Linked DNA regions of Drosophila melanogaster. The protein of the gene in region 1 interacts with the protein of each later gene in a pairwise test. Each region holds a gene or a part of one and is shown in the gene's direction. Other genes may lie near its edges.

The links.
Region 2: the proteins of teq (region 1) and CG6283 interact in a two-hybrid assay, tested with the Drosophila melanogaster proteins (one large-scale study listed by BioGRID).
Region 3: the proteins of teq (region 1) and CG5180 interact in a two-hybrid assay, tested with the Drosophila melanogaster proteins (one large-scale study listed by BioGRID).
Region 4: the proteins of teq (region 1) and CG42588 interact in a two-hybrid assay, tested with the Drosophila melanogaster proteins (one large-scale study listed by BioGRID).

Annotation. Positions count from the first base shown.
Region 1 is NT_037436.4:9,070,896-9,079,215, forward strand, and holds the start of teq (tequila), read left to right. Parts: upstream 1-3,747; 5' UTR 3,748-3,883; coding exon 3,884-3,934; intron 3,935-4,168; coding exon 4,169-4,727; intron 4,728-4,776; coding exon of another isoform or gene 4,777-4,971; intron 4,972-5,124; coding exon of another isoform or gene 5,125-5,370; intron 5,371-5,423; coding exon of another isoform or gene 5,424-5,900; intron 5,901-5,962; coding exon of another isoform or gene 5,963-6,126; exon of another isoform or gene 6,127-6,561; intron 6,562-8,320. Other genes in the region: CG4911 (uncharacterized protein), read right to left, coding at 1-626, 688-792, 851-1,006, 1,593-1,735; CG4942 (uncharacterized protein), read left to right, coding at 2,312-2,776, 2,834-3,424.
Region 2 is NT_033777.3:27,018,070-27,024,873, reverse strand, and holds CG6283 (uncharacterized protein), read left to right. Parts: upstream 1-3,495; 5' UTR 3,496-3,520; coding exon 3,521-3,560; intron 3,561-3,618; coding exon 3,619-4,598; 3' UTR 4,599-4,636; downstream 4,637-6,804. Other genes in the region: CG6277 (uncharacterized protein), read left to right, coding at 1,687-1,726, 1,789-2,774; CG17191 (uncharacterized protein), read left to right, coding at 5,147-5,186, 5,241-6,214; CG17192 (uncharacterized protein), read left to right, coding at 6,592-6,631, 6,688-6,804.
Region 3 is NT_033777.3:20,553,573-20,561,482, forward strand, and holds CG5180 (uncharacterized protein), read left to right. Parts: upstream 1-4,357; 5' UTR 4,358-4,479; intron 4,480-4,671; 5' UTR 4,672-4,825; coding exon 4,826-5,019; intron 5,020-5,077; coding exon 5,078-5,624; intron 5,625-5,688; coding exon 5,689-6,015; 3' UTR 6,016-6,188; downstream 6,189-7,910. Other genes in the region: DPCoAC (dephosphocoenzyme A carrier), read right to left, coding at 1-263, 324-627, 1,134-1,326; att-ORFB (uncharacterized protein), read right to left, coding at 12-263, 324-627, 681-718; CG15922 (uncharacterized protein), read right to left, coding at 6,211-6,264, 6,326-6,475; CG5191 (uncharacterized protein), read left to right, coding at 7,727-7,727, 7,785-7,839.
Region 4 is NT_037436.4:12,810,505-12,818,643, forward strand, and holds the start of CG42588 (uncharacterized protein), read left to right. Parts: upstream 1-3,749; 5' UTR 3,750-4,027; coding exon 4,028-4,376; intron 4,377-5,694; coding exon 5,695-8,139. Other genes in the region: Sap130 (Sin3A-associated protein 130), read left to right, coding at 1-159, 224-1,084, 1,144-1,382, 1,446-1,716, 1,776-1,946, 2,005-2,112, 2,176-2,325; Sf3a2 (splicing factor 3a subunit 2), read right to left, coding at 2,609-3,403.

The DNA of each region.
Region 1 (8,320 bases):
AGACACGGCGACTGGAGTTCATGCGATTGGAATATTTGTACGGCGCGTCCACATAGTGAATGCTGCGCAGAGTTTCCCTGTAATGCAACGACATCCAGTCCAAGGCTTCGGCGTTCATCTTTTCGCAGAATAGCAGTCGCACATGGGTTACAGGCATATTGCTACGCAGCACACGATGCTGCAGTAGTGCGATGGCCTCATAGGCATACACAAGGGTCAGCACCAACTCAATGCTCGAAAAGTGATCCGAAAAGTTGGACCAGGCCGTCTCCGACACATCGGGATGCTCTTCGCTATCCAGGCCGTGCACTGCGATCAAAAGTTTCCGCAGCGGAAGCACCTGGATAGTGTGCAGCAGTTCGTCAGAAAGTGTGTCGTAGTCGAGGGAGAGCACCTGCAGGGCGGCGCATTTCTGCAGCAGGGTCGAGTCCAACGAGAGGATGGGATAGTGACTAGGATCGTACTTGATGCTCGCGAGTGTCAGCTGCAGCAGTTCCTGTGGTTTTCCCATAGCCTTTAGAAAATCATGGCCATAGTATGAGAGGGCCTCGATGGCTCCAAGGTCCAGAAGCTGGCAGGGCTGACGCTTGCGGCTTAAAAACAGAATCAACGGCTCCACAAAGCATCTGTTGGGATTGTCAGGATATCTAACTATTGAACTTTTTATTTATTTCTAATGGTACATACTGTTCGATGGCCAACAAGTGCTCGCTATGCATGTTTCCGATGGCAACAAGGCCGACATTGTGGGTTTGGAAACGCAATTTCTGGATGTTATCACAGTGCGCCACTCTGTGGGATGGAAAATGGTTAGGTTGAGTCCTCATTGGGTTTTCTAAAGCAAACTTACTTGTATAGAAGTCCTCGCATTTTCTGGATGTGAACTGCATTTTGAAAGTCGAAGACTACTATCAGTTCCATGGCCAAGTTGGCCATGGAGCGATGGAAGAAGGCCAACTGATCATCGCATCCCACATCCAATTGAAAGCGAAAGTTTCTAAAATAGCTGAGGGGTGAAAAATAGGTAATGATTAATTATATATAGATGTAAATACTAAATTACAAAATTGGGCTTATTTCTTTTCTATTTGTTAGTCCAAAAGACCAATATAATTAATTTAAATAACATAGGAAAATTACTATAAATACAATAAATGAATCAGCATAGAAAAGGTAAGAAAAATAAGTATCTTTCTCGCAATCGCTAAGATCGCAATTTACAGCTCACAGCTTATCGCATCAATTAATTTAATTAATTGCATTTATTGGCAGGGGAATTCCTCTTATCGTGGACTTTCCCCTTTTTTCAACACTAATATAAACAAACGGACCTAGGTGCTTGCCCCCACACATTGAAAGCTTGCCAAATGCGAAGAGTACAACATATAAATGTCGAACAAGTTTTGGGGTCTACGATTCGTTCTTGCTTGCACAGATGTTTTTTTGCGCTTGATTAACCCACGGCTATATAATGTAAGGGGCAATAACAAAGGAAATATACCCAATAAGTACTGAAATTAAACATTTCAGCCACATACACAAATACCTACACCCACACGGATACGGACACACCCACACAGTGACAAACTTACCGTTTTTGAAATAAGGCATGTCTCCAAGAAAAACATACACCCGCTGCCGACCGACGATCCTGGGGATTTAGATAGTCGAATATGTGATTTAGTGCCACCGATGGTATTCTGTGCCATTCTGGTTGGCGTTGGCTAAAATTCATTACTCGATTTAAATGTTAATTGCGTTTCAAACAATGAAAAGTTGCAAGTGCAGCCGAGTACGCTGCACAATTTAAAATGCCAAATTAGAGTGACCGTCGCACGAGGTCGCAAATATGCCAAGACCAAGAAAACAAATATGAATACAAGCACAATTTTATCTTAAGCATATACGTATGAAATTAAACGTCAATTAAAAAACAATTTATGCACTTAAATTAGGTCTAGCCATTTTAAGTAAGCCGAGATAATTATTAATTTAGAAATTTCAAAGTGAGTAAAAATGCAAAGGAAATAAAAGTGTTGCTGTCGTATAAAATGACTGTATAAATTTTGTTATTGTTCTCTTATCAACGATTAAATGATTTCAAATTAATAACTGCATTTCAATGTTTCCTAATTTCGGATAGCAAAAAAAGCATCGTAAGTTAAGGGTTAATGCAACTACAATGCCTAGCTACGGCCACACTGATTGAAGCCGTGTTATGGTAACAATCAGCTGTTCACAATGATAACAACTCGCACTGCTGATTCTATATAGTTGTTTACGTTGATTATTAGTTTTATATTAATTAAAAATGTCAGCTTTGCTTCTTTTACGCACCTGTAGAAGTTCATCAATTGCTGGCATCTACAAATACACATACCAAGGAACAACTATTGCGAATCACACATGCAATCATCGTCTGTCGTCTACAGAAGCGGCGGCCGCGAGTGTCCAACTGGCAAATGCCGGTGGATTGGTGGGATATTGGCAGACCTTGTCCAACAGCACGCCGGTGGCCTATATGCAGGATGTTCTCATTAAGATCCACGACTACAGTGGCCTGCCCTGGTGGGCGTCCATCGTGCTGTCCACTTTCCTTTTTCGGAGCGTGGTCACCCTGCCTCTGACCATTTACCAGCACAAAATCACCGCCAGAATTGAAAAGATAGCGCTGGAGATGCCGGCCATTGTGGAGGAACTGAAAAAAGAGGCAGCCATGGCCAAGCACAAGTTCAAGTGGAGCGAAAAGCAGACTCAGATTGTTTATCGGCGTTCGGTTTGTTAAAATTCAAATGTTTGCGAGACACTCTTCGTCATGTCAATTATCTTACAGATCAAGAAGCAGTGGCAGAACCTTATAGTTCGGGATAACTGCCATCCCATGAAGACCATGATTGTGCTATGGGGTCAGATTCCCCTGTGGATCTTTCAATCCGTGGCTCTGCGCAATTTAGTGTACATGCTGCCGGATCCCACGTCCATTCAAGCTCAAATCGTGACCACCGAAATGACCATTGGCGGATTTGGTTGGATACCAAACCTTACGGTGGTGGATAACTCTTATATCCTGCCTGTAGCATTAGGTCTTATCAATTTGGCCATCATTGAAGTGCAAGCCATGTCTAGAACTCGTCCTTCTACACGCTTGCAGAACATCGCCAACAATGTGTTCCGTGGATTGAGTGTTGTGATGGTTCCAGTAGCCTGTACAGTGCCTTCAGCTTTATGTGTATACTGGGTAGCTTCCAGCAGTTTTGGCCTTGCTCAAAATCTGCTCATCCTCTCGCCGGAAGTGCGACGATCTGTGGGAATTCCCAAAACACAAACGGAACTCAGTGAGCCGTACGATCTGCTCTGGCTAAAAATACAGCAGAGGCTAAGACTTGCCGAGAGGGCGCCGGCTGATAAGCCGGCAGCCAAATGATCTAGTCTCTTAGTCATAATCACCTAGTCTAATTTGGGTATGACGTTTAGTTTGTTTAAATGCGACTGCGCCACTGTAATTCATCATCATCATTCTTAAGCTCCAACATCTCAGATTCATAGAAGTAAATAAATGAGTGAAAAACCCCAAAAGAAATGCAAACAAAACAAGGCGATAAGACAGCAAAAAGGTCTTGAGATTACAAGCCCTGATAGTGTGGTCCACTCAATTGGTTTGGCGACAAACGAGAGCATCTATCAGCGGCGGCAGAGATAGAGATTCATCCCGAGTCCAATTGAATTGAAATGCGATCTGGGTGTGGGTCAGTCGAGCCTGGAATTCGAACGGGATCACAACGAAGAATTTAAAGCGCGAGAAAAACAATTGTGTAGTTGCTATCAGCATCGGTGCATTTTAAGAAATATTTAAATTCAAATACTTATAAAGCGGAAACGTAAAATGATGGCCAAGTGGCTCCTTGGCCTTTGGCTGGCGATCCTGCTAGTGGATGTTAGTGTAGAAAGTTTATTAATAATTTCAAATTGTGTTTTTTAAGGATATCATCTAGATTCTAGATTATTTACAATTTTTTAAGATTTTAGTCAAACTAAAAATGTTGTTTAGGAATTTAAAACGCGCTTAAGACTTTAATTTTAATTGAACTTAATTACAAGCTATTAGCTAAATTTTGCCTCTAATTACTTACGGTTGTTCAATAATATTTCATAATTGCGCTTTTGACAGCGACCCGGGGCTAAAGCTTATCGATCAGGCAGTGGCTACCACAGCGAGCAGTCGGAACCAGTTGGCTTATCAGCAACAGGGAACGCACACTCGAGTTACGGAGGCGACCAGCAGCAGCCTATTTACCATCGGGATTCGGCATGCCCGCCGCATTTTACGGGTCTGGTTGCATATCCCCACGACTGTCATCGCTATGTGAACTGCTTCGATGGCAGCCCCACCATTCAGACGTGTTCGCCCGGAACTCTGTTCAATGACAGGACCCAGGTGTGCGATCATCCCAGCAATGTGGTTTGCCCTTCAGCGGAATCTGCATCTACTCGACTGGGAAGACTTAGGCAATTAGATAGTGAACCCAAGTGTCAACCGGGAGTGAATGGATTGCAACCGCATCCTTCGGATTGCAGCAAGTTTCTTAACTGCGCCAATGGTCAAGCTTTTATTATGGACTGCGCACCAGGAACTGCTTTTAGTCCAGCATCACTGGTATGTGTGCACAAGGATTTGGCCAAATGCGGATCGGGAACTGGAGCAGTACGAGATGATACCTCCGGCACCGGTACGTATGAGTGATTTAAATACAAAAATCTTGACTAACACTCGGTTAGGCTACCCTGCGTTGCCTTTTGATGACTTGGGCTGTCCACCCGGTACACGTGGGCTTCGTCCACATCCGCACGACGTGCACAAGTATTTGAGGTGCGGAATTGGGGTTAAGCCTCAGGTGGAACAGTGTCCACGGGGCCACATCTTCGATGGCTCCTCTTCGGTATGTGTGTATTCTGACTCCCCTCGGACCTCCTGTAAGTGTCATTTCATTTCTTATCCCTACTGCTTGGCCTCGCTTGATTCATCTGCTTTTTCATTTCGGGTTATTTTCTCATATTACGCTGTACACGCTTTGCTTGCCTGCTTAGTTGATAGACTCTAATCCTGATCCCTTTGAATTGTAACAGCTTCCTCCTTCACGTCGGCTGAGATTCAGGTCAACTATCTCTTGTGTCCAGTGGGAGCCGTTGGCCAATTTGTTCATCCCTTTGATCAAACAAAATTCCTTAGTTGTAAGGATGGTAAATCGGCTGTGCAAAACTGCCAACCTAATTATGTGTTTAGCATATCGAGGCGCTACTGTCAGTTAAAAGCACAATTAGCCTTTACCGACTATGTCACATTAATTATCTCCGAAATCAGCTATGAGTATTGTAAGTTACTTTATCATCACTGTACACTAGAATTTATGATAATATTTTACTAGCACTTATCCTTAATGCCTGTCCTGGTAACATCAACGGCATCTTCTTGTATCCCTACGATGCTAAAAAGTACGTTCAGTGCTCGTCTGGTGGCAGAATGTCCATCCTAAGTTGTGGCCCCCAGATGGCATTCAGTGTATCCCAAAGAAGTTGTCTTCCAAGTCATCAAGTGCACATATCTGATCGGGTGCAGTTCTGGCAGGAAGTCCAAGTTCAGACCACTTATACTTCTCAAGACTTACGGGGAAATGTTCAAAGCCAGCTGTCTTCACTTAGATCGTGTCCACCCAATGTCCAGAAGAATTACCCTTATCCATTCCATGCTGGCCACTATGTCAGGTGCCAATATGGAGCATTAGAGATCATATGCTGTCCCACTGGACAGCTTTACAGCCTCTCCCAGCGTCAATGTGTGCCTCGTAGCCTTCTCTCTGCACATGATTACTTGGATTACTCCTATATCAGTGCTGAACTTTCCAGTAAGCATCTCAAGGAATCTTGATGACTTGGACTTGATTTCAGACCACTTTTTCGTTTACAGCTGAGTTTATGGTGGATCGTTCGACGCTTTCTTGTCCTCCACAAGCACAGGGACTCTATCTGCATCCCTTCGATTGCACCAAGTATGTCAGGTGCTGGAATCAGCAGACCTTCATTGAGAGTTGTGTAGTATGTGCCTATGCAATATTAAGAACAATTAAATAAAATAGCATATTAACTTATGGCAGCACTTTGTTGCTATGTTTATGTTTATGTTTATGCACGCAGTTAGGCCAGGGCGGATGTAACATGATCACCCACTCGAAGGCCACAAAGTATAAGTGCATTGCCCACTCGAAGGCAAAAAGTATAAGTGCATGGTCAGCATTCACACGCCGACCAAATACATATTACATACGTACATACATATCTCGCTCTCCCGATAAGCCTAGATATATAAGATATACATAAGAACGCCGCTCCGCTGCTGGCGTACCCGGCAGCGCAGCTACGCGGATTAGCCTAAGTCCAAATATATAAAAAACTGTAAAATCGGAGAGACTCTGTAGACGTTGAGCTGACAGAACCATTTCTGCCTACTCTAAAATCAAAAGAAGAAATTGAATAAATATATGTCAGCCCGACGGCTGCCTTCAACTTAAAACGGACTTGTGTTCTTAATTGGAGTTCATCATTACATGGCGACCGTGACAGTCGTCCAACGCTGGACGAATTGACCAAAGCTGGTGAAAACAAAGGAACAAAGGAACACTGGACTGGAAGAAGACTGGACTAATTAAATGGAACTGCAAAAACCAAGGAAAAATCTGAGTGAGTAGAGTTCTATTGAGTATGGGCAAACACCGTGGCGGTTTGAAAACTAAGCTGAATAAACGTATAGCCCACGTAAGGTGGCTAATATACGGTCAGCAAACGCCACCGGTTTGGTCGAAAGCTCTAAAGCTACATGCAGAGCTAGACCACTTGTTGCAATATCAGCAAGAATTAAAGACCCATAAGCTCGAGAAAACTCACTCAGATAATATTAAAAATATACCCACAATTAATGAAGTTCCAAAATACCAGGCATGTCCAGCACCAGCACCAGCATTAACAAAACCAAAGAAGTCCTGCCCCCCTGGCTGCGAAGGAATCTGGAGTCCCCACTGCCTGGGGACTTGTGAGCGACCATCGACGTCTTCAGCGGCGAAGAAATAGACAGCAGCGAGGGAGTGTCAGCGTGCCACCCCCGGCGACGCCCAGCTGACACCTGATGAGCATCATCAACAGCAGAATATAATAATAAATATATATAAATATAAAGTAAATATAAAATATATATAGATAAGAAAAATTGTAAGAAATATTGTAAAACGGAGCATATACTATTATGCCCTGTTAACCCAATATGGCCCGTGAAGCCATAGCTAGAATCAGGCAGGCAACAATGTAAAATACAATTTTTTTTTACTCTTGCGAACATTGAAAGATTTTATAAATAGATAATTCCAAACATAAATGTCTATAGAGACAAATGAAATAAGTAAAACTGAAAATAAAAGTATATACAAAGGAAATTTTCTATTCTATTCTCCAAAATATAAAATTAGTATACCCAAAATGGGTCTAATAGACACTAAAACTGTGGACTCTACAGCCAATGTAATAAATAAAGTAGAAGTCCAAAATGCAGACTTGTTCTGGATAACCATAATACTAATTGTAATTGCATTAATTATGGTATCCAATGCATTAATAAAAATATACAAACTGCATAACAAGTGTCTTAAGAAACGATACCGTAGCACTGCTAACGGTATAGATAATATTTAAGGAAGATCTTTAATAAAGTCAATTATGAATGAAAATATGAGAAAAATTATATGAAAAAAAAAATAATAAATAAAAAAAAATATAAAACGTAATATTGAATTTATCTACATTAAAAAAAAAATATATACAAATGAATAAATTTGAAGTTATGAGTATACCACAGCATGGACTGGGAAAAGCTTGTTGATCAGATAAAAGATCAAAATGAAAATTTCAGAAAATCCTATAAGTGCTTAACGCAAAACAGATCAACACAAGCTGTAACAATCAATAGGAATGCCCAAGTCTTGGTAAATAGTTATAATGAAATCAGAGAGTTGATCCAACAAAATAGAAAGAATTTGGAACGCAAACAGTGTGCTAAGGCTTTGAACCTACTGGTGACATTAAGAGAAAAATTAATATTTATAAAAAATAAATTCAGTCTCCAGATAGAAATTCCAACCATAGTAAACACCCCACTAAGAATAAATTTGAATGAAGACAGCACTAACTCTGACGAGGAAGATAGGACTATAGTCAAGGAAGACATTAAAGAGGAAGATCTTCACGATCTAACTATACCAGCAAAATTAATGCTGAAGAA
Region 2 (6,804 bases), on another chromosome or scaffold:
TTTGCTCTTTACCAAGATCAAATATGTTTATACATAATCCAGCATAAATAAATACCCTGATAATAAAGGTCTCATATAATTTACATAATCCATTTCTTTATTCTCACAGTCATAGCCAATCTTTGCCATTTTCACCGAAAGCATTTTCACACTTTGTTTGACATATTTGTAATTATAATTAATGAGCGAACTGCAAATGCAATTTCTCCAGCGGAAAAGTCAACTGCCACATTTATTTGCACAATATGATAGTGGAAGGCACCACCCACGTGAGGCATGACGCACAAATATTTGAATAACAAACTGGCTGCCGTAGGTGGTCTGTGTGTCCTTGTGGCCCAATTAGCTCTCGAGCATTTCAAGTATTTAACAACAAGTATGTGCACCGGGTGGATTGAAGATTGAAGTTTCACGCTTTCTACTTCAGATTCGCACAGTTAATCGTCAGATAGGATATTTTTGGAGCGAGCTCTTGAGCCCCAACAGTCTGATAAGGGAAAGAGACCAACAATGTATTCCACCATCGGTCATTTTATATATGAGCGGGATAGTTTGTTTATTTTACAGTGCCTAAGTTATACTTCTGACTCATTTTAATTATCAAGTTTAGTAGGGATTTGTTTCCTAGAATCCCCTTAAAACAGGACGAGTAGTAGTAGTATTTAACTGTGGTTAACATAACCACAAGAAAAAGCAAATATTAGTCGCCCGAATGTTAAACAAGGATATTTGCAAGCTGTTTGTGTTTAATTTGCTTAATCAAACGCCAAAATGTGAGACAGTTTCACGTGAAATACCATACTCTTCGATTGGCTATTAATTCAAAATGCTCACTGAATCTGTCTATAATGAACTATAATTAAAAGTTGTGGAGGTCTGCGGTTTCTGTTCATGTTCATATTCACGTTATTAATTGGATTAATTTCTCAATAAGCGATGATTAAGAGAAAACGCCAATTTAAAAAGAGCCTGAAATTATGCCTACATTTTTGAACAAATTTCAAGGTTGTAACTTCCGGTTAGGCGGCTGCATTGTGATATTACACTTCCTGTTTACTGCTGAAACAGAAGATGATTTGGACTTAAAAATACTTTTGCTTGTTATTTTCCGGATTTTAATGCCCCAGCTTTACACCTTCGTTAAGTAAGATTACAAACCACCAGCTGACCAAGATAACACAAGTCGAGCAAAACAAAAATGCACTGGAGTGTTAAATTAAATGCCCATTTAATGATACCTACAATTACGTCCACTTAACCCGACTTACAGAAGATTAAGTTGGCTGAGGACGCCAACCATTGTAATCGATAGCTGATAGTGAAGGCAACTGTTTGCCACCATTCATGACTCGTGTCTCGATTGGAATTTACTGGCAACACATACAAATTTCCATACTCGTTAACATCCAACAATCGAAGAATCAGTTCGCAAATCGTTCACGAATGGCGCAATTGAAAAGCCAATCAGCCGATAAAAGAGCCATCAGATTTGGAGTTCTTAAAAAAAAAAAAAACAATGGCAGTATGACCGGCAATCAGAACGGCAATTCAAATGACCTAAACCTCCCAGGCAGCCAAAGTACGGCCAACCGATTTAATCACTCCGTGATAAGTTGGCCCACTGGGGACGTATAAAAGCTATGGGTTTCGGACTGAACTACCATCAGTTGTGGGCTCCGCTACGTTATGAAGACATTCCTGATTTTGGCATTCTTTGCTCTGGCCGGTAAGAATTTAAGAATTTCCATTTTTAAAGAATACTGTCTAACATGTAACACATCCTTTCAGCCTCGGCTATTCCGATCAAGGAATCTGAGCGCGTCCATGGGGAGAACGGCTGGTACGTTCCCCAGGAGGATGGCACTTCCGAGTGGGTGGACATGGACGTTGCCGAACAGTGGATGGAAGCCCAAGAGTTGCTGGAAAGTCGTGGCTTGACCACCGTTCCCGTAAAGTTCTACCTTTACACCTCCTCCAACCCCACCAAGGGCAAGAAGATCACCGCCTCCACCAAGTCCATTGATGCCTCCAGCTTTAACTCCGCCCATCCAACTCGCTTTGTGATCCACGGCTGGACCCAGAGCTACACCGCCAGCATGAACAAGGACATCCGCAGTGCCTGGCTCTCCAGAGGAGACTACAACGTGATCGTCGTCGACTGGGCCCGTGCTCGTTCCGTGGATTACGCGACTTCTGTTTTGGCTGTCGCTGCCACCGGAAAGAAGGTTGCCAAGATGATCAACTTCCTGAAGGACAACCACGGTCTGAATTTGAACGATTTGTACGTGATTGGTCACAGCCTGGGCGCCCATGTGGCTGGATATGCCGGCAAGAACACCGACGGCCAGGTGCACACCATCATTGGTCTGGACCCCGCCCTGCCCCTCTTCAGCTACAACAAGCCCAACAAGCGTCTGAATTCCGACGATGCCTGGTATGTGGAGTCCATCCAGACCAATGGTGGCACTCTGGGATTCCTGAAGCCCATCGGCAAGGGAGCTTTCTACCCCAACGGAGGAAAGACCCAGCCCGGATGCGGATTGGACCTGACTGGCGCCTGCTCCCACGGACGCTCTACAACCTACTACGCCGAGGCCGTCTCCGAGGACAACTTCGGAACCATGAAGTGCGGAGACTACGAGGAAGCCGTTTCCAAGGAATGCGGAAGCACCTACTCCAGCGTTCGCATGGGAGCTGATACCAATGCCTACATGGTCGAGGGTGACTACTATGTGCCCGTAAACAGCAAGGCTCCCTTCGGCATGATTAACTAATAGAAACTCAATAAACTTCAAAAAACTGTAACTCTCCGTTTTATTACTAATAGGCAATATTTGGTTTTTATGGGCATTACAAAACTGTGTTTTCCTCTGCGAAATCCCTTTGATTTCCACTTGATATCTGGCTTTTTCGAACATAAAAAGGCGACGAAAAATGACTTGTTTTCTTCAATGAACTTGCTTGTCGAATCTAGCCGCCCATAAACCATAAGATTGCTAGCCAACCACTTCCGTTTATTAACATTTATGGTTACACTTGACCGTTATATGGCTTACCTTGAGATCGTTAGTCATTAGTTAGTTAATTGTAACAATGGTTTCATGGTTAAAATAAACAAACGAATTAAGGAACTTTAATCAACTTTTACAAGATTCGATTTAAAGAATAAAGGAAAAAGAAAAGTTATAAAAGTACAAGACTTTTAATTCGTGTAATTTATAATATGCAAATAATATTAAAATAATATCAAGGTTAGTGTTGTGACCCTGGACCTTATCTTTGTGTTGATGCAACTTGAAAAGCTCTACTGTATTAGGTTTTTCCCTTATCAACTTCGTTGGAGAAAACGCTATCAAAGTACAACGTTCTAATCGTTTGTATCGGCCCTATCTTATTATTCAGAAGCTGTCAAAGCCTCAAGTGCTTACTGATATTTAATGGTGATTACGGTTATTATTTCAGGCCTATATAAAGCGTGAAATGAATGCTTTCTCCACCACAATAATTTGAGACCCCCAACATGAAGGTGTTTTTTGTTCTTGCCGCCTTACTGGCAGCCGGTAAGTTTTCATCCATATTGGCAATAGACGCAAGTAATTGATAAGCTATTTCTATTAGTGAGTGCCCTGCCCATTGAGGAGCGCGTCAATGGAGAGAATGGCTGGTTCATCCCCAAGCTTGATGGAAGCTTCGAGTGGATGGACATGCAGGATGCCGAGGATCTTCTGGCCAACGGAGCCCAGATGGAGGGCCGCATCAGCACCAACGCCGTGAACTTCTATGTCTACACCAAGTCGAACCCCACCGATGGCAAGGAGATCAAGGCCAAGTCCGGCTCCGTCGAGGATTCCCACTTCAACAAGGATCATGGCACCCGCTTCGTCATCCACGGCTGGACCCAGAGGTACTCCGACGACATGAACACCCGCATCACCAAGGCCTGGTTGTCCAAGGGCGACTACAACGTGATCGTCGTTGACTGGGCCCGTGCCCGATCCGTGGACTACGCCTCTTCCGTTCTGGCTGTTCCTGGAGCCGGTGGCAAGGTTGGTGAGATGATCAAGTACCTGCACGACCACCACGGCTTGGACTACGATAGCTTGGAGGTGATCGGACACAGCCTGGGAGCCCATGTTGCTGGATACGCCGGAAAGACCGTCGGAGACAAGCGCGTTCACACCATTGTGGGTCTGGATCCTGCCCTCCCCCTCTTCAGCTACGATAAGCCCGCTAAGCGTCTATCCACCGATGATGCCCACTACGTAGAGTCCATCCAGACCAACGGCGGCAAACTGGGATTCCTGAAGCCCATCGGCAAGGGAGCCTTCTACCCCAATGGAGGCAAGAGCCAGCCCGGATGCGGACTGGACGCCACCGGATCCTGCTCTCACGCACGCTCCGTTCTCTACTACGCCGAGGCCGTCACCGAGGACAACTTTGGATCCATTAAGTGCCATGACTACGAGGATGCCGTTGCCAAGAACTGCGGAAGCACCTACTCCAGCGTTCGCATGGGAGCAATTACCAACGCCTACATGGTCGAGGGTGACTTCTATGTCCCCGTGAACAGCGAGGCACCCTTCGGCAAGATTGAGTAGAACCATGTTCTCTGAATAAAATACATTACTGAATACTCAAAAAATTATAGTCTTTCTTTCATTCAATTAGGCCTTCTATTGAAAAATATGAACATTTGTATTTCAATTATTAATTGACTTAATTTGACTTGTATTTATGATTTGCTCTTTGAGTCGTATTTCGCCAGCCCCTAAATTATACTTAGCAACCCCCATCGATTTTGGAGGACCTACCACCGTTCAAAAAGTACTCATACCTGAAGTACACTGGGATTTTCGAAGCACTCGAAATCAATCGAGAATATCTTGATCTGACTGGCAATAGATTAAATACATGACATAGATTACAAATATTTGTGTAGCTTTTGTGTGCTTTCCTATGCGGGTAAATGTCGTCATATTGGGGATTAAATATACAATCATTAAAAACGAATAAATAGCCCTCAAATGATAAGATTATCTTACAATACTATCCTGATCTTATATGTGGTGCTGCTTTTTGATAACTTACAGCCTATAAAAGCTGTGGTAAATTGGCTTAGTGCGTTAGATTCTGCGAAGATATCAATATGAGAGTGTTCATAGCTCTAGCGGCTTTGTTGGCAACAGGTGAGTTATAGAGCGTATTATTGCGATTTAGTGGTAACATTTCTTGGTTTCTAGTAAGTGCTCTTCCCATTGAGGAACGTGTCAATGGTGAAAATGGTTGGTATGTGCCTCAGATAGACGGCAGTTTCGAGTGGATGGACAAACAGGATGCCGAGGAGCTCTTAAATAGAAATTCACTCATCGAAACACGTTCCAATGACGTGTCCTTTTACCTGTACACCAAACATAACCCAACCGTGGGAAAGGAAATCAGGGCTGATGCTTCATCAATCGAAGACTCTCATTTCGATAAGAACCAGGGTACTCGTTTCGTAATCCACGGGTGGAATGGTCGCTACACTGATGGCATGAACGTCAAGATCACCCGAGCCTGGCTTTCGAAGGGAGACTACAACGTGATCGTTGTTAACTGGGATCGTGCCCAGTCCGTGGACTATATCTCATCGGTGCGAGCTGTTCCTGGAGCTGGAGCCAAAGTGGGAGAAATGATTGAATATCTGCATGAACACCATCATTTGTCCATGGAGAGCCTGGAAGTAATCGGACACAGTTTGGGTGCCCATGTGGCTGGCTATGCTGGAAAGCAGGTGGGCGGCAAAAGGGTTCACACGATTGTCGGTCTGGATCCTGCCATGCCTCTTTTTGCCTACGATAAGCCTGACAAGCGACTGTCCACCGAAGATGCCTTCTATGTCGAGTCTATTCAGACCAATGGGGGTGAAAAGGGTTTCCTAAAACCCATTGGCAAAGGCACTTTCTATCCGAATGGAGGAAGAAATCAACCAGGTTGCGGTTCAGACATCGGAGGAACCTGCGCCCACGGACGATCCGTAACGTATTACGTGGAGGCAGTCACTGAGGATAACTTTGGAACGATCAAGTGTCACGACTACCAGGCTGCGTTGGCCAACGAGTGCGGAAGCACCTACAGTGGAGTTCGCATGGGAGCTGTTACCAACGCCTACATGGTCGACGGTGACTTCTATGTGCCCGTAAACGGACAGGCCCCCTTCGGAAAGATCGAATAGAGGGGAACTATTATATTGAACATCTTATCAAAATACAAAAAATTAGTACTCCAATAAAATTCAGCTATTTTTTGATTTCGATTTTCAAGTACTCGCAGGTGAAGTGTACCAGGATTTCAAACCACTTAAACAAAAGCAAACCTTTATAGATAGCATATTCCCACGGGCTGTAATATAAATTTATTAGATAGATGCAACACACGAAACTTAATAATGCCATTACCATACTATCAGTTAATGGCATTACCATATATATAACACTATCAAATGATAAGACTCGTTTCCTGATCTTAAGTAGACTGTCTATTGATAATTTACAGCCTATAAAAACGATTGTAATAAGCCTTTAGCAGACTACATATTACGGAGATACCAACATGAGGGAGTTATTTTTTCTAGCAGCACTATTAGTAGCGGGTATATATTGATTTTCAAAATCATTTCGGTTTAAATAATAATTTCCTCGTTCTTAGGTAATGCCCTTCCTATTGAGGAGCGTATCAATGGCGAAAATGGGTGGTTTGTGCCCCAGGAGGATGGCACATTTCAGTGGATGGACAAAAAGGACGCTAAAGAGCTCTTAGAAAACA
Region 3 (7,910 bases), on another chromosome or scaffold:
AGTATTCCCGCTTAAGAGTCTCGTAGGTGAAGAAGGAGGTGCCCGCATAGGGAATCACGCCGAGAACGGTCGCCCAGTAGCCGCGGAACAGCGTCCGCGGACCCTCCTCCACCCAGATCTTGGTGAAGACTTGTCGCAGCGTCCGATAGCCAGTATACCGATCCGTGACGGCCATGCGGGCGCGTGCCAGGTCCAGAGGATACGTCAGCGACTGTGAGGTGATTCCCGCCAGGGAGCCAGCCAAAAACCGACGACCTTTCGTGCTGCAAAATAGAATGATTCGCCATGAAGTTGGTGAGAATCTAGAGCATAGTACAACTCACTTGGTGCCGTCCTTGTCGACGTGCAGGATGCGACGCCACTGCTCGTGGGCCGTGAACTGTATGGCTGCGTAGGGCACGATTCTGGCCATCGTGGCCGAGTTCCCCCGCCACAGGGCCAAAACGCCCTCGTTGGCATAGGTGTTTTGCAGGTAGCGCAGCGAGGCTCGAAACGAGAAGGGCACATCGTTGCGGATCTGGAAGTTGATCTTTGTGCGGTCCAGCGGGGCGATGACCGTCTTGGCCAGCGCCCCCGCCGCTGCTCCGGATATCAGGCTGATCACCACCTGGTCGATTTTCTGGCGCACTGAAATAGTAAATGGTAGAAAATGAATAGAAAATCTCAATATGCATTCATACCCGAATGCGCGACTATGGATAAATAAACGGAGGGACATAGGAAACTTTGACACTCCACTACGCTCTATAATTTAGTTCGGTTTGAAGTCAAATACTCGACATTTTACTGTCGACAAACACAAAAATTCAAGAGTTTTCATTGTGTCGCCAATGTAATTTAGCGTTTCCCTAATTTTTGTTTGGACATGTTTGGCATTCAAGTGGAATCGAAGTGCCTACTATAAAATGAGTCCTGGATTTAAGCTCATAGTTAAATAGGTCCATTTTATAATGCTTAGTAGTTACTAGGAATTGGAAATCACATTGCGAGAAAGTTCATTGAATTTGATTTTTGTACATGTTAATTAAGATTGTAGCTTTATTTACTGCCTTCAAGTATCAAAATGTTTGAAATCCTTGGCTATGCGTCTGGAAAACAAATCTCTCGTGAATTGTCTTTTGCGCCTTACTTACTGGGTGTGACTGTAGTGGCGGGTACGAGGACTACTCCAGATGTTTCCGATGGACTCAGCTGGGTGCGGGATGTGTCCGCATCGTCCAGGTCCGAGGACAGCGTCGCCGAGGCTGTCGTCATCGTGCTCGAGAGCTGACTACCCGTGGACTTGATGGACATGGCGATGTTGGGCTTCTCCAGGAGTCGGCTCATCGCAGACTCGGACTGGGGGACCTGAAATCAATTTGCATATCAATCTGAGCCGGCTATATTGGACCACCAAAAAAGCGCAGGCTTATCGACACCACTGATAAGAGCTCAATATGGCCAAAACTAATCTAAACCAGCCGAAAATTGCTTTGCTTTCATAAGACTTCCCAGCAGAGACACATATAGCAAACTGAGTGGGCGCTGCTGTACAGCTGAGGTCAACATAATAGCACAACTAACTTATATATTAATATTTTGAGAATGAAGCTTCTAAAATCCAACTAACAGGTTAGGTTTAAACTGAAAGCATTTCTATTGTACCATGAATTATTGGTAAATGATTTTATTTTAATCTAGAATTCTTCTAAGCACAGTAGCTAATAGTTTAGGTGCAACTTTATGACAAGTGTTTGGATTTCTTATCAGCCAACGAACGACAAAAACACAGCTTTGGATTTCGCTGATAATTGATATGTGTGACCAATAATGAAAAACAATAGTACTGCTCTTATTATTGTATTGATTGTGAAGAGTAAATAAATTGGGTGCTACTCTTGCACAGACAGGTGTATTTATGGAGCCCAGGAAAATATTATGTGCGCCTGTTGATAGCGAAAACACACATTTCGCAAGTTCATGCAAATAATATTCAATTGCTCTCGCAATTGTTTCGTAATTGTTAGAAGCACGTTCCCTTGGCATAGGTTCAAAAATAGGCACTCGGATGGCTTTTAGCGTCCAACCAACCCATAATATTGACCAATATTCAGCTATCTGGCCAAGTACCATTGGCTCCCGGCAATTGAACTTTGCTTTGGGCCCCAAGTCGAGTCATTCTCGAGCCAACTACTCGGGTTCTCAGCCGGAATTGATAAGGCTTTGGCCAGCTGCTAATTGGGTCTCACATTAGATAGAAGTGGAGTGTTCCAGAAGAGATCGGAACGGATCGATGTACCCGCTCTCGCCTCTCTCGCACTCCAAAGAGCAAACAAGCCCGCAAACCGGTTGGTTTCGTTTGCTCATTATGGAAGGCAAAAGGCACCGAATTATCAGTTGATATATGTACATATGTACATAAGTAAGTGCCCAGTGTATATATATGTACATACATATATATGTACCTGTTTATGTGTGGCACACACCTCCAAAACAATTATCATGCCGAAATATTAAAATGTGAGCTCAGCTCGCCCGAATGTGCGGAATATGACAGCACGTGTGTTTTGATTACCGATTTTTTTGGGGGGTTGGGCACTTTTCCAAGTTCAACAGCTGAGCGCGGCTAAAATTAAACGCTTTTCATTGAGCAGCCGGTGCGGGAAATCTTTGGGAGCAAAAACCGAGAGCGTTCATCAATGCGATTGCAAATGAGTGGAAAAGTGCAACCTTGAACGTGAGCATCTGAGCTGTACAGTGGATACTGGTTAAGGATGGCAGTAAGCATATTTTACTATTTTTAAATTATATAGAAGTGAGTCGACTAACTACTACTAAGCAACTACTAAGATTAAGGAAATTAACTAAATTATATTGATTTTATAGGCTGATACGTTTCAAATGCAACCTTCTGGTACAAGTAATCACTGTACCTAGCGATTTCAGCTCTTCTATCTTGAAAAGTTGGGCCAAAAGTAGTTTAGCAAATATTCCGCGCCTTTGCTTGCGGCTTAAGTGTGATTTTAGCACAGCCTCTTGATATGTGCCCCCTCCATAAACAAATTTTTTGATAAGGAATTCGAGCGATGAACGACACTTTTCGACCACTGTGCACTGGGATGCTGTTGTTGCCGGCGCTTGATAAACGTAAACAAGCTCGTTAGGCGGTGTTTGTGCACTTTTTTCTCTGCTATTGCACTCAGTCAAGGTTGTGGCTTACTACGGATCCAGTTTATCCAGCAAGTGTTTTCCACTTTGCTTCTGGCTATGAAATTTGTTTGCTATAAATAGCCCGTTGGAGGGGGGGGGGGGGTCGATGCGGGATGTAGATAGTAAAGCAGCTACAACATCATTCCAACTGGACTTTGTACCCCCTTGGAGGAAAATAACAAAAACCAAATGGGGCAATGGAAATTTATGCAAATTACTCGGAAAGTGCACTTTCACATGCGCGATTTTCTAGCCAATTTATTTCCTTGAACAATAATTCGGAATACTTTTGTTTGTTGTTTACAAAACTGGATTTGATTTATAAGAATCATACGTGACTTAATTCTGATTGGACTGAGTGCGCCTAGGGGAATGAAAAACAGCTGTTGCTTGTAAGTGTTGTTGTTTGTTTCTCTTAAATTTAAGTACTTTGCGATAAAGGCCACTGTGCACCAACTGTTTGGCAATCCATTTATTCGCTCTTGTTTACACCGATTAAACGCTTGCAACATCCCAAAAAGACCACTCACACACGGACACCTTATATAATTGGGCAAAACGAGAACAACAAATTATTTTGAACACACACACGTATACATATGCGTACATATGTACGATTTCATGTGTGTTTGGCCCTACACGCACCTTTGTTTTTGTTAGCACAGATTCTTTTTTTTCGGCCTCCCTTTTCGCTCCTTCGGCCTTGGCAACAATAACAACAACACACAGCAGTGGTAGGCGTTTCGCACTGATTTTCGATTCCAAAAACACAGGTGCTGTATTCTCTTTAACCGCGAGCTAATTCTTTGTCTTTATTTCGGATTTTTCTATTTGTTAATGCACATTTTCCGCGCGATTCTCGGACTCCGCCTGCGAAGCTCCAAAGAGCAATTGACAAAAACATCGAGAACTGCGCTCGGCGTTGCCATGCTGACTGCGCTGCCAGACGGCGTGGGTGGAGTCCACGCTGGAGGTAAGCCCAGACCGCAACCCTCTAACTGTGGCACAGTGGTGCAAATTAAGAGAGGACTGCTGTCAAAAATTGTTTATAAAATTTGTTCCAGAGCCGTTATGTCATTGTTTCGTCATGTCAATTGTAAAAGAAAGCACCCTTTCAAAACGTTGTAAATAATTTCAACAAGTGCTACAGATATTTGTGTTATTCACTGGCATACAAGTTCGTTTAAACAAAATATTAAACATAAATAAACATTAAAATATATTATTAAACAAAATATATTCTTGACTTGCAATAGATATGCCGTATCACTCATAAATGCAATACAAAGGGTAAATCATTATTTCCTGGCTTAAAATTGTAATGAAACGGATAATGAATCACATAGCTATTCAGTTTTAGAGAATTTGTATGCACTTTGTCATATTTAACGTTAAAGTCGATCACTTTTTATTTAAGGGGCTAAAGTTGTTTTACTTTATTTGCCTAATTTAAATTTTTGCTCCTTATATTCAAAAATGCAGGCTCGATACCATCTCGACCGCGATGATTTGTTTGGGTTGGCAACGCCCCGACGTTTGTGGCGCAGCCAACTTCACGCGAGACGCAGCGAAAACAAAAAATACTAAGCTGAAGTTAATTGAGAAAACCCCAAATAAAACGCGAGTGAAAGGGACCATGAACTTAGACCTGCGTTCGTACTCACGCCACTGGCTCACGGAGTTTATCGAGCAGTACCAAGAGGAGGAGTGCCTCTGGCAGCCCAAGCACAACGACTACAGCAATCACACAGCCCGTAACAAGTCCTACGATCGCCTGGTGGAGAAGCTAAAAGAAGTGGAGCCCAATCCGGACAGGGCGATGGTAGTAAGGTGAGAATTTCCATGTCAAATGTGCCACAGTTCAGTAAACACAATTCACGCTTTACAGGAAAATTAACTCACTGCGGTCCGCTTTTCGGCGGGAATTCCGCAAGACGAGTACCAAAGGCGACTACGCAACGCGTTTGTGGTACTACGACAAGCTGCTTTTCATCGCTGACCACAAGCCCAAGCGCCACGAACTCGGCTCCAAGCCCAAGAGAGAACTCCATATCAGCTTCGACGACGAGGAGTCAATGGAGTTCGAGGACGACTCACATCACACGGGCACTCAGTCTCAGCACATGGAGTCCATAATACCCACGTCCCCGGACGATGTGGAAGAAGTCGCGGCGACGGCCAACAATGTGGTCGTCAGCAGTCAGGGCGCCACTCTGAGCACCATTTCGGTGACGCCCGCGGAATGTGTGACCCTTGTCAAGAGCGAGGAGCACCAGGCGGCCGAAGCAGCGGCAGCCGCAGCCCAAGCACACCAGCAAATGGTAGCCCATGCAGCAGCCCAGACCTCCATTGCGGCGGCGGCGGCTCAGGGACATGCCGTGAAGGTCTTAGAGATCACCTCCCTAGACTCCAACTCCCAGCGCGAGATACAACAAGTGAGTAGCTCCAAAGCAGTGAAGAGTTCCTTAGGGTCTTCAATCACCTCCTCTCCCCACGCAGGCGGTCAATCATCTGGAGCACCACCAGCAGCAGCTCCACCTGCAGCAGACGAATGGCCAACATCAGGGCGTTCCCACCATCCAGATAGGCCGCGATCACTATCAGCCATTGTTTGGCAATGCCGGCACCACTGCCTATACCACCACAGCGGCTACGAGCACATCGCACCGGCAAGACGACGAGTACGATGCCATTGGCGTGAATGTGGCGAGCAAACTGCGCTCCATCAACCCGACGCAGCGGATCGTGGCCGAGAAACTGATCAGCGACGTTCTATTCAACGCACAGCTGGGCAACCTCACCGTTCACTCGGCCCTCACGCAGTAATCTCTCTTGTCCCCCTAGACTAAGTATGTGTAGTCTCTGGCTTTATATCTCCATTTTGTCTGTGTCCCAACCTGCAGCCCGGCCAACATGTGTCGCCCGGGCAGCAGCCGATTGTACCATACAGTTTGCATGTAGTTTTAATTATTCTATACAATAAATAGATTGTATGTCTTAAGCTCATCACCAGAGGGTTTGTCATTCCGTCGAACTTCCTGCGCCCGTTAGCTTGTTCCACACAAACCTGGCAAACTGGACAAAAAGAGGAGCTGCTGTCTTGAGGTGATCGCCTTAAGAATTAGGACTAACATACCGTGACCGGCGGCATCTCGATCTGTTCCGCCTCCGTGACCAGTTTTCGGTTGCTCTGCATGTAGCTCCAGCCCAGATGGATCCCCACCAGACTGGGGATCATCACGACGGCCACCAGGTTGCGCGACACGAACGAGGGCTGCTTGCTCATCTTTACAAAATTCGTAAAACGGAATTATTATTATTTAACAGCTATCACAAATCAACAATGACGATGTGACCGCATTGCGATGTTTGTTTAATCTTATCAACGAAAAATACCAACCTATAACGCTGCCCCAAAACGGGCGGCTAGTTTTGAATAAAGTTTCTATCTCCCCCAACTTGGTCCAAAGTCCAACGTTTTCGGGGATAATAATGGGAAACTAAACGTCTCGCAATTCTTTGTCTGGGACTTCGATTGCTTGGGCAGATAAGCATCTGTCATTAGTTTGTTGCGGTGGCTGGTTTTAATAACAAATGCGGTGGAGGTGGTTAGAGTAGATCAATGGCATTGTAAAGGGGAACTTCACTTCTCGTAGGGTATATTAGTTGCTGCGAAATTCTTTAAAGACTTTTTGTGATTATAGAAGGCCTGAAGTAACTGGTAAGGTCCTTCGCTTTTATAACTAACATAAGATTATAATAGTTAAAAAACAAAAATGTGTAATTATACTACTTTACGTACAAGTTAAAATTGTCTAAGCTTTGAATTCAAATAACAGAAAGATGAAAAATAATTTTAGGTGCTTAAAGTTCTTAGTGGACAAACTAATTCGGAAAAATTAGAAAATATGTATGAAATAATTATAAGCTGAAATCTGAAATTTTAACTTAATCTGTTTTAAAAACCGTAAAATAAGCTATAAATTTATCGTCACAATAAAACCAATTTTATTTCAAATTATGAATTAAATTAGAAATTAAGTATGACCGTAACCTCCCGTCTCAATCCCTGTTCTGGTCACACTTTGCAGGCAAGGCGAAGAGGCAGTTAACTAACTGTTAATTGATAGCCCACTGCGTCGCCAACTAACCTTTTCCCATATTCCCAACTCAACCCATTAAGTGCGAAATCCACACCCGCGTCGCCGGAGGGGCGTGGGCGGGATCGGATGGGGCGCTGGCTTTGGGGCCAAGCTGGAGGCTAAGACGCGGATGCGGTCTATGCACTTTGCGCACACAAACAACAACGGCAGCGGCAGTAACAACAACAACGACAACAGTGGGCCAAAACAAACAAATTCTGTTATAGACGTCGACGTCGCTGCCGTTGTTGTTGCTATTCCATTTTGGACAGCACCTGCAATTTGAGTTGTAGTTTCAGTTTTAGTTTTGGGTTCCTGGCGAGCAGACGCTCCATTGGACAGTTTATACACATACACATACAGACCTACATATTTGTATTTTTGGTTGATTTGCAAGTGAGTTCTCCCACCCATAGTTGTGCCACCTGCCCCTAAATCCGACCTTTTTGCCAGTGCTGAAATCGATAGTGACCGTCATCCGTTTGCACCTGGAGGAGCTGTGGCTCAGGTAAGCGAATCGCCGGTGCGCAAGAACCCCGCCCCAATCACTCATCCTGCACGGCTACTACTCCGCCTGTC
Region 4 (8,139 bases), 3.7 Mb from region 1:
CCCATCAAGAACGCAAGCGGCATCACTTTGGGCAAGATGATGATGGCACCAGCTTCTTCTGCCCCTGGAGCAGATGGTTCCAGCACAAGCGGGGCAACAGTGACGGGCTTTCAACGCACCTGGAATCCTGTAGTTGCTTCACAGAGCCAGTTGATGAAGGTAGGTTTCAACTATCTACATATATGATGCTTCAATTAACTATTAAAACTAAATCGTTATACAGATCGATGAGAAGGGAAGTGCTGCCACAATCTACTACGAATCTATGCCAGCCTCCGCCTCCACAGGCGTTCTATCATTGACTACGACAACAGTGACGCAGAGCACCCAGGCGCAGGCACAATTGGTTAGCAGCGCCGGTGGCAGCTTGTCGGTATCTTCGTTACCCTTTGCAAGTCACGCGACTGCCGGAGCGGGATCAGGTGGCGGCGGATCGCAGGCTACTTTTACGGTGTTGCCGTCGGGGGCTGGTGGAACAGCCACCCGAACCATTGGCCACCAGCAATTGATAATACCAGCAGGACCAAATAGTGCGCCGCCGCAGCACATGGTTATTCCGCTGCATACGTCCGTTAAGGTGACCACGGGAGCGGGCAATCCGCAACAAGCAACTGCAAGTGGAGCACTGGTGTCCAGCTTTATGCGCAAGCGGGATGCGGAAGGTTCGCCAATACGGGCGGCTAAAAATCTAGGACCCACTTTGCTTTCAATGGCTAGCAATAACAGTGGACAAAACATGCCACCGGCTCCGGGCACCACGTTCAACATTCAGCCGGTGTCCGTGACAGTGCCTCAATCAGTTGGCTCTGGGCTGACCGTAGAGGCGCTGGCCAAGAAGGAACGGGAGCGAGTCACCCATGGTGTAGCAAGTAGCGCCGCTAGTGTGCCTGCCACAGTTGGCCCCGTGAACTCAACGAGAAATTCGAGGGCGGACTCGCCGGCTTCGTCGGACGGCTCAACTACAGTGTCGGCGAATTCCTCACCTGGTGTGGATCAGCAATTACAGGACAGGATTGGCGATCAGCCAGCCACGGGAGGCGCTGGTGGGCGCGATAATTCCACGCATTTTAATCCCATTAATGAGGTGTGTACACAACAATCAATATATGCTTAAGTATGGCTTTAATATTTGTTCTTCAAAAGATGTACTCATCACACCAATCGATTCAGCAGAACCTTGGTCACTCCTCACTGGGAGCCCGCAGTGGTAGCAGTGCCTTTGTGGATGTGCAAGCACCAACGCCGCAGCAACAGCAGCCTCAGCAGGTGCCTCATTTGGTGGGATCGACGCAGATGCAACAAGGAACGCGTATGAATGGTACTGGTAATAGCTCCAGCTCCAGTTATGACTGCTCCTCTAGGAAAAAGCCGCGACGATCGACGTGAGTTATTTGAGTGGTTGTATCAAATGATGCATGTTGATAATCTGATAATGTATTTGCCAGCAATGACAGCCAGCACTCTACGCAGAGTCAAGCATCCTTATCGCTGCCACCTCCAAGTTCGGAGCCAACGCCGCCGGCTGGCGCTTCGTACATGCAGAAGCACAACAATGGAGGACTACTGGTGACAGCAGCGACCCCGGGTGTTGCTCCCAACAGTGCGCCAGGCGATGCCAACCACCGGAACAGTACACCTGCTGTGGCGGGCAACAAGGAGAACGCAAATCCCGTCGACTTTGTGATTCGTCGTCCGCGCAATTGTGCTTTGCTCAATGTAAGTTGAAGGTTCAGTTCATTTTGTGGTAGTTAACAAATGATTCCGTTGATCTACAGACGTATAAGCCCACACATAAGTTGGCCAACAATCATTTTCATCGGTACACTGATGTTAAGCCAAGGGAGGAGCGGCGGGCCACAGTCATTGATCTGGCCAATCAGCCAAATGTGCAGGGCAAAATCAATGGATGGAAAATTTATCATTTACGCTCGCAAATGGAGGACTTGGTAAGCAATGGGCACGAAAGTATTGGTAGGCTACTTTGACTGAACTGATTTCTTACAGAATGAATCGGAAGTCTTTAGTCTGGGCAGGCTGGAGACCATGCTGCAGGATCTCGAAAAGGACAAGGAGAAGCACAGCGAAATTGAGCGAGTCACTGAACTGCTAAAGGTGCGCTCTTATACTTATATCCATTATGCTTGAATCTCAACATAAAACCAATTTACTTTGCAGGGAAACATTCAACGCAGCAAGATTATTACCGATGGCATCAACGAGGCACAGAATCAGTTAATGAAGATCTTCGAGCATAAGCCACACGTTTCTAATATAATCACCCGCTGCGCTTCGAAAAGGAATTTCAAGAAGCGCGAAAAGATCTAAAAGTAATTGACGAACGGAGATGGCCAGCCAAGTGTGTATTAATAAGTTGTACATTACCTAATTTAAGCAGAAATTATAGAATCCAAGATAATTACCTTAAACGCGATCGATTTGTAAGTCGTACAGCTACAAAGAAAACCAGCAATATTTTTTCAATTTATTAAGCTAGAAACACAAATACAAAAACCCTCGAGTTGTATTAAGTAGAAAATTGTTTATTATTTGAATATTTCTGTGGTAATCGGCTTGCGTTTGGAGAAATCCCGTAAACATTGTCGATGAATTAGTTGTTTGAAAGCATGGGTGGCGGTGGATGAACGCCATTGAACATGGGATGCATAGCAGGACGTGGCGGTCCCGGCATGGGGAATCCGCCTGGGGGGCCTAGTGCCCTATGTAGATTCGGCGGCGGTGGCGGCAGGATCTTAGGTTCGAACTTGAAGGCGAACTGAAGGAAGAACTGCTTGGTGTCACGGTTCCAGTGCGTCCAGAACTTGCCCTCACTCTTCTCCACTTCGCGGGACGGCACCTTGAACCCTATGGTCTCGTACGGCTCGGCGGCAAAGAGAAGGTACTGCCACTTGCGGTCTGGCGGCTCGATCTTTTGCTCGTAGGCGGACATGAAGCGGTGACGCGGAACAATGGACTCCGTGATTTCCGGGTAGTCCACCTGAAAGAGCAACGACTGCTGGCCGTTGCTGAGTTCACGCTGCTTGGTCACCCGGTAGCCGGGTCGTCCAATCTTGACGAACTTCTTCGGTTCCACGCGGGGCTTCTCGGGCGCCAGCAGCGAAGAGGGTGCCTCCTTTGCCTCCTTGGCGGCTCTTCTTGCCAGATTATCCTGATGCTTCTTGCCCTGCGTGTGGGCCAAATAGCTGCCCTCGTTGTTGTGCAGCGTCAGGCAGAGTTTGCACTCGTAGGAGCCCAGATGGTTCTTCATGAAGTACGGATCCTTGTTCAGATCGATTGTCTCCAGGGCCAGTTGACGCAGTCGCTCCTTGCGGTCGCGGTTCGTCTCCGACCAGGAGGCTACGCCTCCGCTGCCGGTCTTGCCGCCGGCGCGGTTTTGGAAGTCCATTTTGTAAACTTTATTTTAGTTTTCAACCGCACGAAGGAAAAACGTTTTGCGTTGGTAAAATTTCATGAAAATTTGTTGTACAGAACAGGGTTGTCAAGAAACGCCAATTCGGTTAGGGGTGGTAGTTTATCAGAGTCAATCGATAGTTCGTGTGCAGGATTAAAGTATTAAATAAATAATAGAATGTTTCATAAATCCATTAAAATTCTTAATGATAGTCAAATTTTTGCAAACTGTAATATACATAAAATAACTTATATATTCCTTTTGCGATGTTTTTTTAAAGAATTACATATAATATTTTGGTATATTTTCGTTCCGAAGCTTTGAGAATATTTTACTTTTTCAAAGCGGTCACACTATTAATTCGAGCTGCACATGCTTGATCTTTTTTAGAATTTAAAAAGTGAAAAATGTCTAGACAGCGATCTAAACTAAAGTAAACTAGTGTTGGTGACAAGTACTAGGCCTCGAAAAGCGTGTTTTATTTAAATGTCACTGCGTGGATTACGTCGGACTTGAGAAAAATCGAAGCAACGAGTGTTTAAGAATTTCGATTTCTGTCGTCATTTTCGTGGAATAAACAGTGCCAGTGTCTTATGCGATTTTTAAAGTAACCGCGAAATGGACAACTCCAGCAAACAGGTCATCATGGGTCCACCGGCGCCAATGACCACCACTTCTAATCAACCGAAGCCCGGTAATCCCACCAGCGCCCCTCCTCCACACGCCACCAAAACTGCTGCAGCTCCGCCCAAGCGAATAATTAAGAAGATTCAGCTGGATTTCAACAAGCTCAAGGAGGCTGGACTCGATAGGCAGCTGGCCGAGGTGCTTAGGAAGCAGAAGCTGGATGCCAAGAGGGTGGACGCCCCATCGTCCACCAGTCTTTCCACCTCTGCCGCAGCGCAGTCGACGCCAACTGCGCCAGAGAGCAAATTGCAGTCGCCACAACAACAATTGCGTCAGCCTGGTAATGCATACTTGTATATATATATATTTGCTTTAAGCTGTGCATCGCCCAAAAAACCGTTACAAACCCAGGGGTTTTGTACCAAGTGATACGAAAATCGTCTAAATGCTTCTACGAGTTTTGGGCACAGTACCGAAAACCAAAACGATGGTGCAACTGATTGAGACGCCGACAGATTGTCAAAGAGTTAGTTTTTGTATTAATTGTTCTGAGTTCGTCTCGCAGTGAGTGCGGCGCCTTCACTTTCTTTTCGTGTATCTCGATATATTTTATTTTTTACGTATTTCGAATGGCAACCTAAAATAATTTTTTTTAGTTTAAAAAAGTCTATTTTTGTTAAAAATTCAGGTCTATAGGTTAGAAATATTAGGATGGCTAACCATCTGTATCTGTATCTGAACATCTACAATATGTTCACTTGTCAAACAGGACGTTATTATTTCCAAAACATACTGCCAATAAAATTTATATTGAATAACATAATTTGGTATTTAATTATTTAAAACGATCGATATTTTAATAAGCCAAGAGAATCACATGTTTTACAAGGATATTTTATGTATATTTTAATATTCTTTTAATAAATAAATTTAAAAAACCAAAAAAAAATTAATTCGGGACATTTAGATTAGTTGGTACTTTTCTTTGAAATGAGATGAAATATACTGCTAATACTAGAACACTTCAATATTTTTGTCGTTGTTGTTAAATGTAACACAAAAAGTTTTTAACGAAAACTTTTTTTTAAATTTTAACAATTGAATAATGAGTTTAATCAATAATCATTTAATTTTTGTTGTTGTGTGATAGAGTACTAACTACGTAAAGCCATAAATTATGAAAATTTAATTGGTCAAAAGCAAATAAAATTTTACACTTAATTGTAAAATAGGGATAATGAGCTTAATTCATAAATATGATACCCTTGAAAGGGTAAATATTTTTTTTGACTACTCGTCTGGCAAACTAGATTCAAGACCCACTCGTGCCACAACAATTCGTACTCTTTCGGTGGTTCAATCGTCAAGTGCGCGCTCAAAATGAGGTTAGGGACGAAGCGTCGATGCGAGGCAACATAATTCCCTTTTTGGCCCGGGTTCAAATCCCATTGCGGTCAAACTGCCGTTTGTGTGTGCGATTGTTTTTGCTAATACATGCTCTATATGGTTTTATTTAATGTTTGCTTTAACAATGAATTGCATCTTTTATGTATAAGATGGCTTATTTCGCTTTAAAACTGTGCTCCTTTAACTTTGCTCCTAAGTTCTTCTGCTTATAGTTTCCTTTATTAATTATGTTTCACTTTTATAATTTTTAGCACCTCAGCCTCTAGTAAAGCGTTTTATGATCTCGGAACACATCGAGAAGATAGTGCCCATCCAGCCGACTCCAAATCCAACGGATGGTGACCGTTCCAAACAAGTGAAGGCGCTATTAAAGAACAGAATACTAAACAAGAGCTTAATCACGAACACGCAGGCTCAGCAGAAGCCCACAACTTCCAAAGCAGCGCCTAAGATGCCACCACCTGTTTGCCACGAAACAGCTCCTCGCAGTGGCGGGATTTCCCCAGCTCCGGCAGCCTCTTCCATGTCCATTGCCAAGGCGGACTTGACTGTCCGACAAAAGCAGCCGCCACTTTTGCTCAATTTGGTAAATCAGCTGCCCAAACATCGAGCCATGTGCGTATCGAGTGACAGTCCCTTAGTGAACCCGCACGGGACAGTGCATCAAGTTTCCCCAAGTCCACAGAGGATTCCAGTACAGCAAACTACGAATGTTTTTAGCCAACCATATCCACCTCCAGAGGTTCCTATAGCTCGAGCAGCTCCTACGGTTCCCACACAACTTCATAGGAGTCCAACACCGCCGCTAATTGTGCTGGAGCATAAGGTGTTGGCACCCAACGAGAAAATCGATTTGAGTGGGCTTCGGCTGCCCAATGCTCCGGTGGAAGCTACAAATTCTCCGGATAGCGCTGCAACACCAAATATCCAATCTAAAGTGATCAAGGGCAAGGTTATTATGAACGCCAATAAGTTTAAGGTTTCACGGGAAAAACTGGCCGAGATGGCCAAAGAGATTCGTAATCAGGCGGATCAGGTGAAACAACCTCAAGCTATGAAAACACTTAATTCAAAGGATGTTATTTCCACAATGGATACTCATTTCACTATTAACACAATACTTCAACCAAAACGAACGTCGCCCTTTTCATCACCAACTCTGAAAGGAAATATTGCTCCTTTGTATAATCCAAAGCCAAATAAAGCAACAGACTTTTCAGCTGGCTCAAGTATTCGTTCAAATCCATTACCTGTAGAATCAACAAAACAAACAATTATTGAATCGAATGAGTCTACTGAAGACAAGGCAATAGACTTTCCCACATCAGTGCCTACAACACCTGGAAATCGTTATTCGTCTGAACCAAATCAGGCCACTTCTAATTCCGTGGAACTAGAATTAGTTTCCAATTTAGAAACGGAAGGAGTTATGGCAGTTGCTAACCCAATTGATTTTCCTGTATATATTCCCTCAACTCCTGATCCGACTACCGAGTCAAGCCCTCTTAAGTCCTTTAATGAACCAATCAATTATCCAGAGGTGAATGCACTTGGATCAAGTACTCCTGTATATATTCCTATAACTTCGGAAAGAGGGCATTTAACTGCTGAGGTTACCACAGAATCGAACCTGGTTGATTTGCCTGAACCAGAAAACATACCTAAAGATATGAACGCCGACTTGGTTCAATCTGTTCCTTTAATATCCAAATTGAATAGGGAACCGAACACAGAAATAGGTGATATGCATTCTCAAGCGGACACATCAGCAGTGAGTCAAGAACAATCGAGTTCTTCTGCGGCCACATCACCAGAGCATAAAATCCAATCCGCTGTAGATTTCATAGCTCAATTGACCGCTGAAAATCCGCTCGATGAAAGCAGCTTTATGGATCTTTCACCGGAAGAGCAAAGATTGAGTGCTCTATTTGGATTTGGAGGATGTTCGTTTGCTAGTTCATCGGTTACGCAACCCGAGGAGGAGGAGCTACCCATCGGAAAGATTGTTAAAATGGACGATATGAATATATTGCATGCTACTTTGGATATAAGCAGCGACAGTACAAATGTACTGAGGATTAGCCCGAACGCAGTAAAAATGCAAAGCAGTGTAACATCATTGAGTACACCATTGGTGGACTTACAAGTGGGAGACTCAGCTCTGGAGGACACTAATATACACAATAACTTCCCAAACCCAGTAGATAATACCACTGCAAGCGAATTGCAAAATGTGAAATCTTCGGTAACCGAGACCTCAATTCAAGAGGCCAACGATGAAACAACTGTTATCACAACTTTGCCAAAAAAATGTGACGAAAAATCACAAGTGCCTTTGGAAGAGGTCAAGACAGCGTCAGATCCAGAGCCCTTAAAGGAGGTCAATCCTCCTGTGAAAAGGGCACCTATCAGATCCAAAAAAGCTAAAATTAATCTAGTGCAACGCACCAAAAGACCAAGCATCCAAAAGCCAATTGAAGTGAAGAAAGCCAAGTTAGATTTTGAGGAGGAGGACGAGCAGGCGATGGCTATCGATCACAGCCTGATGGAGGATCGATACGGAGTCCCAGGAATCGAGGTAAATGACAATTCAGCTAGCACGAGCTCAGACCAAATAAATCATAATTTATCTAGTGTTAAAAACAATCCAAAGGTGCCAGCAGATGAGAAGCAGTGTGAAGAAGAAATCAGTCCAG